Coturnix japonica: one gene and its partner. The protein of the gene in region 1 binds, or shares a complex with, the protein of each later gene. Links are inferred from orthologs where the notes say so. Each region holds a gene or a part of one and is shown on either strand. Other genes may lie near its edges.

Region 1 (5,413 bases):
GGCCGTGACTGGATGCTGCTGGCCTTGTCAGAGGGGTGCGTGGGCCCGTGGCCATTGCCCTCTGGCGCTGGCTTTGTCCGTTTGAAGAGCAGAGAAGCATTGCCATGCAGGAAGGAGGCGAGCTGCTTGGTGTCATCGGGCACACCACGCGAGTACATGACGAACAGCTCCAAGTCGTCCGTGCCCGGTTTGCCAGCCACCAAGGCACTGGGAGCCCAGTGACATGCATCCAGCGCCTGGCTGTGCCGCCCCAGGGCCTGGTAGACCTCCTCCATCTTCTGCAGCTGCTTGCTGAGCTTGGCGTACAGTGAGCGGTCCGAGGCCTGGGCAGCGTTGCCCACTGCCCCCCGGGCAAACTCCAGCAGCTCCCTGAGGGCTGTTTGAACACCCTCGGCTGCCAGGCGGATGCCGGCAGCATTGGCTTCCATGTGCTCGGGGCTGCGCCAGTTGGTGCTGATGAAGGACATGAGGCTGGAGACGGCACCGCTGACGCCGAGCTGGAGCTTGGCCAGCATCTCCATGGCAGCATCCAAGTCCAGGGAGAACTCCCTGCCGGCTCCTTTGGCCGGCTCCTTTACGGGCACAGTGTCCAGTGAGGAGGTGGAGATGTTGCTGCGGGTGCTGCCCGTGCTGGAGGCCGAGAGACGCTTGGTGTCAGCTGCCTTGGCCTCGCGGTCCACCTGTGGTGGGACATCGTAGATGTACTCACCCTCCATGTCCATCGAGCCCTTGCTGGGGGCGTGCAGGTCCCGCGGCACATCGTACACCTCCTGCAAGGGGAAGGCCGACCCCCCCAGCTTCTTGAGGCTGGGAGGCACGTCATAGATCTCGTGGGACAACGAGGGCTCGGGGGCGGCTTTCCCAGCCGCTGGTGGCACGTCGTAGACATCCTCTGGCAGGTAGGAATCCTGCTGGGAGAGCACCGGGGGGTGGCGGGGGGGCTCGAAGGCTTTCTGCTTGGAGAAGGCGGGGGGCACGTCGTACGTCTCCTCCCGCACAGGGCCGTCTGGCACGTCCTTGCTGACGGAGGGTGGCACGTCATATACCTGCAAGGGCACCACCACGTAGTGTCAGTGCAGCTGGAGACACACATGCACACCAGCCCCGCTCCCCTGTGCCCATAAGAACAGCTCTGGGCGTGCAGTGGGCTCGTGGAAGGAGAGGTGCACAGCGCAATCCTGCAGCACCACCACCCTCACGTGTCTCTTTTGGTGCATGAGCTTCCCCTGCGGCACTTACGGTTTGGTGCAGGTTCTTCTCCACGCTGGGGGGCACGTCGTAGATCTCCTGCCCTGGGTCCTGCCCATTGGGACCCTTGACCGCCATGGGGGGAGTGTCATAGACCTGCTGGGAAGAGATGGGATGGTGTGAGGGGCAGGAGAGTGGCCCCAGCACACACACAGTGGAGACCACGGCTCAGCCCAGCACTGGGTGCCGCATCCCTGCAGCCCATCACCCCACAGCCCCACATGCAGCCCCACATCCCTGCTGACCTGGCTGGGTAATGCACCGCGTGCAGGTGGCACATCGTAGATCTCCTGTGAGCCCGAGGAGAGCAGGTGGCGGGGAAAGTCGTATTCATCCTTCTCAGCCTTGGGGGAGTCATAGACGTACGCCTGCCCCACGCGGGTGGGCAGCAGCACCTACGAGAGAGGGCAGGGCTGAGCCTGGCGCACCCCCCGCTGCTGCCCCCCGAGCCCATCTGGGAGCACCGTGCGGTGGGTGCCCACGCGAGGGCGCTCCCCGTCCGGCCTGGAGCTGTCACCGCTCCGTGCAGTGACGCTGGAGGGACGGAGATGAGATCACCGGTTATTTATAGCAGCCAGCCTCGGCTACAGACAAAGCCCGGCCGCACGGCCGCCCTGTGCGATGAGAATGGAGACCTGAAGGTTAATTGTGGCACCGAGGGACCCAGCGATGGAGGACGAGCCCAGACCCCCACCCGCATCTCGGTGCAATGTGGTGCGGCAGCCATAGGAGGTTGTGGGATGCTCGCAATCAATGGGGTGCCCTGCCCACGAGGCACGGTGCTCAGTGTCCCCTTTTTCCCACTGGATCTTCCAGGGAAACGCAGCTCATCTCAGCCAAAAGCGCTTCACTCCCCCCCTCCATAACCCCACAACAGACTGGAGCCCCACAGCATCAACCCACCGCCGTACCTGGACCCCCATCCTACCTTTCCAGAGGGCTTGGGCCCTTCCCAGCTCCTCGCATCCAAAGATGGGGGCACTTGGTAGATGTCTTGAGCCTGAGCCGAGGGAGGGACCTGGTAAATGTCCTGGGGGGGGCTGGCAGAGCCCGCAGGGAAAGCGTCCACCGCCTGGCTCAGGGACGGCGGCACCTGGTAGATGTCCTGCCCGGCGCTGGGGAAGCCGTGGGGCGGCGTTTGCTTGGGGTAGGATGGGGGCTGCTTGGCCGGAGCCGGGGGAAACTGTCCAGCGGGTGCCGAGCCCGAGTACAGGCCCTGCTGCCCCTTGCCAGGAACCGGCATCAAGTAGACGTTGTCCCCTTGTGGCGCGTAGGAGGGGTGCATGGCGGTGTACTGCGAGGCGGGCGACAGCGGCGTGTACCCCCCTTGGTGGTGGTACGGCAACGTGGGCTGTGGTGCTGGCGGTGCCTGGCCCTGCCCCGGCCCGGCCGCCTGCTGCTGCTGCTGCTGCTTCTTGTCGTACATCCCCACCAGGATCTTGAGGCGGTTCCCCGGCACGATGCCCTGCCGGCCGTGCAGCGAGCAGAGCCACCAGCCGTCCAGGCCCTGCGTGTTGCGCTCCAGCACCGTCATGATGTCGCCTTTGCGGAAGGAGAGCTCGTCCGGGGACTCGGCCACATTGTCGTACAGCGCTTTGGCCAGCACGTTCTGCAAGAGAGCCCCGCAACGGGCCGGGTCGGGACTCATCGCGGATGGACTCGGCGGCACCAAGGGCGCCCGGCACCCGACGCGGCCCCGGCGCTGCTCCTCCTCGTCCCGGTTCAACCCACCCGTCCCGGAGCCGGCGCCGGGACGGGGCCGGACCCCCCGCGCCTCCCGGTGTCGGGGACCTCCTCTGCCTTTCCCTCCCCTTCCCGCCGGGGAGGAAGTGCCATGGAGGTGACTCAGCCCGCACCGAGAATTCCCCCCCGGCCGCCGGGCGGGCACAGGGACACGCGTGTGTGTGTCCGTGTCCGTGTGTCCGTCCCGCTGCCGGCCCGTCCCGCCGGTGATGCCGCGTTGCCCCGCTCGGTGCCCCCTCCCTCCCCCGCTGTCCTTCCTCCTGCCGCCGCGCTCGGGTGGATCCCGCGGTGCCGGCAGCGCTGCGCAGCCCCGCAATGGCAGCGCCCCCCGCCCCCCGCGGGACGAGCCGTGCCCGGACCGGGCGGGCAGCGCCGACCCCGTGGCCGGAGGGGGCTGGGTCGGGTCGGGTCGGTGACGGCCGCGCTCGGTCCCGGAGGCCCCGTCCGGCCCTTCCCCACCCGACGGGCCCCGCTCCCGGCGCTCGGTCCCCGGCTGATCACGGATCCGCTCCGACCGCCGCTCCCGGCCCGGCCCCATCCGCCCGCCCCCGCCGCCCCCCGCTCCGTCCCGCAAGGTGACCCCGCTCACCAGGTAGTTCATCTTCGCCTGGCGGGCGCGGCCCCGCGGCGCTCAACGAGCGGCGCTACTGCGTGTCCGAGAGGCGCGGCCCGCGGCGGGCGGCCGGAACCGGGATGGCGGTGGCGGCGGCGGCGGCCGCGCCGGAGGGATCATTCCAGCGCCGTGCCAGCACGGGCCCGACCGCCCCGCCCCGCCCATGGGCCGCGACGCACCGACGGGAGGCGGCGCTGCGGCGGGAGGAGCGGGAGGGAGCGGGGCCGCGCTGGGGGCCGGCAGGGGAGGGGAGCGGGGGGGGGGGGGGGGGGGGGGGGGGGGGGGGGGGGGGGGGGGGGGGGGGGGGGGGGGGGGGGGGGGGGGGGGGGGGGGGGGGGGGGGGGGGGGGGGGGCGCGGGGCCGGGGCCGCGGTCCTATCGCCGCCCGTCGGGGCTCCCCGGCCCTTGTAGGGCTCTTCCTGCCCGTGGGAGGCACGAGGCCGGTCGGGCGCTGCCCGTCGAGCCCGCGATGCCGCCCCGCAGCCGTTCGTCCGCTCCCTCGGGGCCGGCGGAGCTGCGGTATCGTCCGCAGACCGCAGGCGGAACTCGGCGGCTTCCGCTCGGCGGTGATTGCGGGGCCAGCCCCGGGCACGGGCACCTCAACGGGCGGCAACACAGCCGGGACGTGCCCGGGGGAGCGCCCCGTGCTGCAGCAGCCCCGGGAGGTCGGTGCCCAAACGGAAACTAAAGGCTGCGGGACCCCGGAGCTGTGTGCCGTGTGTATGGGGACGGGCTGCTCACTGACGGCACAAGAAATGGCTTCAAACTAACAGAGGGAGCTTCAGACCGGAGCTAAGTTAGAGGTTCTTTACAGTCAGGGCGGTGAGGCAGTGGCACAGGCTGCACACAGAGCTGGTGCTGCCCCATCCCTGCACACAGCCAAGGTCAGAGAATGGGGCTGTGAGCACTGATGGAGCTGTGAGTGTCCCTGCTCAGTGCAGGACGCCTTTAGGATCCTTCCCACTCGAACCATTCTGCGATTCAATGATCCCATGACATGTCAGTGAGCCCAGCACACAGTGGGGCACAGCTCTGTGGGACCATCACATGTGGGAGGGGTGGCACTGTGCCCTGCGTGGGGCTGAAGCTGCCCGGTGGAGCAGAGGCCCCGCATGGACCCACACGGACCCACACGGACCCACATGGACCCACACGGACCCACACAGCTTTTGGCTTCTGGCTTTTGGCTGCTTCCTCGCGGCTCCATCCTTGGGAAAGCTGCCTCCCGCCCCCCGCAGCAGCAATAGGATTACACGGCACTGAGTCTCCTAGCAATGAACGGATAAATAAATCCTGTAAGGCAGCCGGGGATTTATTAGACTTCAATATTGGGGAAATAATGAGGACATTCCCGTTGGCTTGTAATATCACGGGACCCAACAGGATCACAACGGGGCTTTATCCCCTCGCCTTTCCAGGGGCAGAGATGTTTTGTCAGGCTGCAGATACAGCCCAAAGGGCTGCCCATGTCCTGCCACGACCCACAGCTCGTCCGGGGAGAAAACAGCCACGTTCCCGTTCTCTGCAGCCGCACAATGGGGAGGATGGGATGGATCCCACACGGGACCCCACAGCGGAGCCGTGGGGCAGGCGCACACAATGGCAGCCTTGTTTGGGGCCGAGCACAAGGGGCCGTTCAGCAGTGCCCAAACTGCTCCCAGCCCACGGGGACACGGCGGCCATTCAAGGGGATGCAGTTGGGGGCTGTGGGCCAGGCCCTCTGCGGGCAGGTGGTGCCAATAGCCAACAGAGGGCTTCTCTCCAACGCTTTATCCCTTTTTTTCCTCCCCCAGTTTTTTCTCCCCCAGTT
Region 2 (4,968 bases), on another chromosome or scaffold:
CAGTGGAAAAGGCTCTAAAATGAAGCTTGGTCAGAAGCAAGCCACCAAATGCCCTCGTGGTGCTGGCTGACAATCCTGCATCAGCCTGGGAAGCTTTGACAAACCCTGACACGCAGGCAATCCTGGACTAGATGATATAAAACACCCTCTGCCTTCTGGACTCTGTGATGCCAAGCTGTGTGCTCGCTGTGCACTGCTGCTGTGGCTCAGCATGGCTGGCAGCCAGCCTGGGAGAAAACTCCAGTTCCAGCTGGGTCCTGGCTCCTCTCCCTGTGCCTCTGCTGGTTTCCATGCCTGCACTGTGGCTGCTTCCACCCCCAAACCCTGCTCCTGCCTCATCCTTAGGACCAATCCCCTGCACCCACCTGGTGGAGCACCCTTCAGCCCTGGTGATCTTGTCGGCCGTCAGCCCATCTGTCATGGTGATGCTCCTCCTCTTGATGTGCCCCCCCTTCTGGGAGGCCGGGCTGTGGGACCCCCCGTGTTTCCCATTGGCAAGCCCATAGCTGGCCTCCAGGTAGCGCAGGGGGAAGGTGCGGTTGATGGGGCAGTAGACGATGGCCCCGCTCTGTTCGGAGATGGCCTTGCGGTTGCCCACGTAGAAGCGGACGAGGGCGGGCACGTTGTCAAAGCTCTCCTGCTCAAAGAGGTACTGGACACGGCTCCGGCCGTCGCTGGACTTCACTGTCACCTTGTTGATCTTGAAGTGGAGGGGCTCATTGCGCCAGCGGCACGTCAGCACGTAGTCACCCAAACTGGTGAGCGAGTCGCGGATGAGGAAGTCGCCGTTCCTCTGCACGAGACTCTCTGAGACCTGGATGGGGATGGGGCAATGGCTCAGACACGGCCCCGCTGGCTGTTATTTAGGGCATCCCCCTCATCATGGCTGTGAGTTTCAGGAGTTTCCCTGTGGCAAACCCAGGCAGCCCCCCCTCCCCATCCTCACCTCCCGTGGGATGCGGCCGTGGTACCACGCGTGGCTGCGCAGGTCGGTGCTGCTCAGCTTCAGCTCCTCTTCCAGCTCCTTGTGAAGCTTCTCTGGTGATGAGTCAAGGATGTATTTCTCCTTGGAGAACTGTACAGCAAAGAGAGAAACCATCAGCTGGGGTTTTGCCATAAGCAGCACAGCCACTTCCCTGCAGGGTCCAAGGGATGCTGTCCCTTATCCTTCCCACTGCCAGCACCTTCCACATCCACTGTGTACACTGGCTGCAGGGACTGGGAAGGGAAGGACTGTCCCTTGGGTGCTGGTGAGTCCCATGTGCTGGGACTGCAGGGATCTCTCAGGGGGGGACGTTCCTGATGTCACCTACCAGGAGCAGACCTGTCCCTGAGGACGGACGCCTGCCCCAGCTCCTTGCCCAGCACATCCTGGGCTGAAACGCTGTGGGAAGCACTTCTCCAGGAGGAAACCCATGTTGTTCCTCCTCCTAGAGACATCTCCCTCCAAAGGGTTAACTCAGCTGTGTTTAGCCTGACAGCAGCATGAATAGTAATGACAAATGTAAAGGAAACCTTCTGCATCGAAATGAGCTCTTACCAGCACTGGTGCACCTGAGCCTGGAGGATGCAATTTCCCCTCCTCCCCTTCCCTGGAGAGATAAGGATTGCGTCACCTCTCCATCGGGCCACTGCTCTCTGCCACCACGGTGGGGGCATTCCCAGAGGGCAGGACATGTGTCAGAGGGGGATGTGTGTGCAACTAGCACAGCAGCTTGGCTGGAGCTACTGGGGTGTCCTGTTGTGCTGGCAGCCCCTTTGATGCATGCTGTCATCCATGCTGATATTGCTTGTGTGAGCTCAGGTGGCTCAGTGGCTCCAGCTCCTTGGCTCCATGGTGCTTGTTAGGGTAGCACCGCTGGTGTCTGTGAGAACAGGCCGGGTCTTGAAGCTGCCTTTGTATTGTTTCCTGGAGCACCAGGGGCTTCAGCCTCAGACTCTTTGCACCTTGTCCTGTGCCCTGAGCCGGTCTCTCTATGCTTCTCGTAGCACAGAATGCTGCTCCCCCAGCCTGTGCCCTCCACTCCTGGGACTCACTGAGTCCCTCAGCAGCTTTTGTCCCCTCTGCCTGGTAACCTCCCCAGCCTGGAGCTGTGTATATCAGCCAAGTTGGGCAGCAATCCCAGGGACGAGGCTCCAGCCTGGGGAGGTGGGAGGAGGAGGTGGGGGAACAACAGTGTGGTGGCCTAAACTCTCCAAGGCTTGCCCTCACCAGCCTGGACCTGCCTCTGTTCCTCCCTTCCAAACTGCTAACGAGTTAAAGAAATAAATAAATACTCAGACAGTGGAAGTGAAAGTGAATAAACTCCTGAGTGCTCCTCTGGCCTCAGTTCCTCCCCAAAGGAGGGTTCTGCTTGCTGGAGCTGCAGGGATGAGACACACGGGTCACATATTCCTGAGCACCTCCACTGCCCTGGGGCCCTGGAGGAGACAAAGCCATGTGGCACTGCTGAACCCTATGGATAATAAGTGGTCGCCGGTGAACGCTGCTATAGTCTGGCTGCATCTTGGGGGGCTGAGGCTGAAGCAGATGCCGTTTCCATGACAATACTTTGCTTGGTGTGAGCGGCCATGGGTGCCCTGTGCTGCAGCACTGCTGTCCCCAAGCACCGGGCTGCTGCCTGCATGGGAGCTGGGGTCTAACGCCCCCAGCAAGGGGATTAGCATCCGCTCTGCTCTATGCTGTACATCTGGGTTTCCCCCCAAATCCTCCCCATGCAAATGCATAAGATAACAAACACAAACCCAGCTGAGCAGTACCCGGTGTCTCCAAGCCGGGATTTGGGCAGCAGTCAGCTGGCAGCTGTGCCAGGAGCTGGGTGCTGAGCTGGGGAGAGGCACACAGGGCTTTGTGCCCTGAGTTGGGGCACTGAGGACAGCTGTGAGCAGAAGGACCCTAAGCATCGTCCCTTCAGCTGCTTGGCTGGGAAATGAGCTCCAATCCAACATTTACAGCCATCAAAAAGCCATCGCTTGGTGACTGCAACCACTCCAACCAGGACCCCGATGCATGGAGAGCCCACTTCTTTGGTATGCTGGCACTCTGGGGGCTGTCCTCGTGCTTTACATTGGCTTCGTGCTGCTCTGCTCCATGCTGTGTCTCGGAGGAGGCTGTGTGTGGCTGCCAGCTGGCACGACAAGGCGGCCGGCCCGGTGCTGTCAGCAGTGTGTAAGCGGATGTGTGAGCACCAAGCTGAAAAGGGCACCACTTGGTGCTCTCTGCTGTGCCAAGAGGACATCAAAAGATGTTCAGCCTGATGTGAGATCTTGCATGCTAGAGGGCTGGCTGTGGAGAAAATCCCCGACTTCCACTAGCGCCCAGCTCAAGCATATTATGCTGGCTGCCTGCTCAGAGCCCTAAGGCTTCCTCCTGCTGAGTGGGATGGAACAGGGGTGAGAGCGGTTCCCCAAACCAGCCAAACCAGCTCAGGAGCTGCCAGAGATGGTGCCAAACTTTGCCTGAGGAATCCCAACCAGTAGCCAAGGTGGTGTGGCTGGTGAAAGGAGAGCTCCTCCATCACACCCAGCAGCAGGCAGGCTGCTTCATGGTCTGCAGGTACAGGAGGGGATTCCCTGGGTTCTCCATCCCTGCTCTCCTCTTTTCCTCTACCTGCTGCTTTCTCGGCATAGGAAGCACCTTTGATCGCAGCTATGGACTAGAATTGGCAGCCAAAGGGCAAGAGCTGGGGGGTGGAGGGTGCTGACAGCTGTGTTCTGTGTAAAACAGTGGCTCTGCCTGGTGTGAGCAAAGCTCCAAAATCTGGCACTTGGCTTTTTCTCCTTGCAAAGCTGCTCTTATGAAACAGGAGTGATTTGCAGCCTGCTTCCAGCTCCCCCCTCCCGGACCTGAAGCAGCTGAAGTCAGCATGGAGAGCAAGGTGTATGTGCACCCACCCCACCCTGCGATAACATCTCCTGGTTATCCTCAGGGCACAACGTGCAGCTGCTCTCACTCTCCTGCTGCCTGCCCCACAATGGGACCCTTGCTGGGGAAATCCCAGACCTTACTGTTGCTCTTCAAACACCCAACTCCTGCTGCTGGAGCAGATGTGGGGCCTGGGAAGCAGAACTAGGAGGGAAGCCACTTGGAGCAGGTGTATGGGCAAAGCCTCAGAGTCACCAAAGCGCCTTTCTTCTCTGCTTAGCCCTGCATCAGGCAATGGGCTACTTCACAGCAAGGGGTTTTAAAACAAACATCCTTGTTTCGGCAGCCAGCACCATAGCAAAGCTGAGCACTGCTCTACTTGCCTGATGCAAAGGCTGCTGTGTTCACCAGTCTGCCCAGTGCTGCCTGACCTGCCTGTGTGCCTGAGGATGGACAGCCCACCCTGAGCAAGGGAAGAATCAGGTATTCATGGGGTTGCTCCTCACCTGCATGCAGTTAATCTCACTGATCTTGATGTCCCTATGGAAGAGAAATAGTTTTTCCCTCCATACTGTCTTGCAATGACTCTGGGTGTTTAAATAGACTCTGAGAAGGCTCATGCCCATCTCATGGGTTGCTGGAGGCAGCTCTTGGCTATGCCATGTCTCCACTGCTCCCCAATGAAAGCACACAGACTGAGGAGCTGTTCTGGTGCACAAAGCCTTTCTTAGGAGTGGTCCCAGCCATCCAAAGGGTCTCCTTTGTGGCAGCTCTGGAGCAGTGATGTCTGGCTGACAGGGGTGGGGTGGCTGGGTACATTGGGATGCTGCAAGGTAGGACGGCTGCTCCTGCTCATGCTATGGGGTGGTGCAGTGCTGTCCTAGAGGAGCAGGTCTCTGGTGCGGTATGGGGTGTGTGTGTACACACATTTCCATCCATCTCTATATTACTTATCTCACTCTGAGACGGCGGTGGCTGCTGCTGCTGCATCCCTTTTCAGAGCTGCTATTGGCCAGAAATGATGTCAGTGCTTCCCAGGCTGGGTGCACTGCCATTGGCGGCGAGCAGGGATGCGGCTGTCAGCTGGAAGCGCTCCAGTCATT

Evidence for each region. Proteins that work in one complex are often made in the same cells at the same time.
Region 2: the proteins of BCAR1 (region 1) and SH2D3C are in contact, whole or in part, in a crystal structure (PDB 3T6G), measured with the Homo sapiens proteins. The link is inferred for Coturnix japonica from reciprocal best matches to the Homo sapiens genes BCAR1 and SH2D3C. Residues at the interface, in NP_055382.2 of Homo sapiens: Ser739, Gln742, Phe746, Tyr747, Gln750, Asn754, Val779, Ser782, Lys783, Ile786, Leu787, His790, Val793, Phe794, Ile795, Asp797, Thr798, Arg801, Gln802, Ser816, Asn817, Cys820, Leu823, Arg824, Val827, Lys831; in NP_733745.1 of Homo sapiens: Thr543, Val544, Pro545, Val547, Gly616, Val617, Arg618, Glu622, Thr625, Leu626, Pro627, His628, Leu749, Leu752, Leu753, His771, Gly772, Val773, Glu774, Val776, Leu777, Leu780, Glu781, Ala783, Arg784, Ala787, His788.

What each region holds. Positions count from the first base shown.
Region 1 is NC_029526.1:680,958-686,370, reverse strand, and holds the start of BCAR1 (breast cancer anti-estrogen resistance protein 1), read right to left. Parts: upstream 3,562-5,413; 5' UTR 3,530-3,561; coding exon 2,177-3,529; intron 1,644-2,176; coding exon 1,494-1,643; intron 1,348-1,493; coding exon 1,240-1,347; intron 1,047-1,239; coding exon 1-1,046. UniProt on the Homo sapiens protein: Docking protein which plays a central coordinating role for tyrosine kinase-based signaling related to cell adhesion. Implicated in induction of cell migration and cell branching. Involved in the BCAR3-mediated inhibition of TGFB signaling.
Region 2 is NC_029532.1:3,665,236-3,670,203, reverse strand, and holds part of SH2D3C (SH2 domain-containing protein 3C), read right to left. Parts: intron 1,076-4,968; coding exon 947-1,075; intron 815-946; coding exon 366-814; intron 1-365. UniProt on the Homo sapiens protein: Acts as an adapter protein that mediates cell signaling pathways involved in cellular functions such as cell adhesion and migration, tissue organization, and the regulation of the immune response.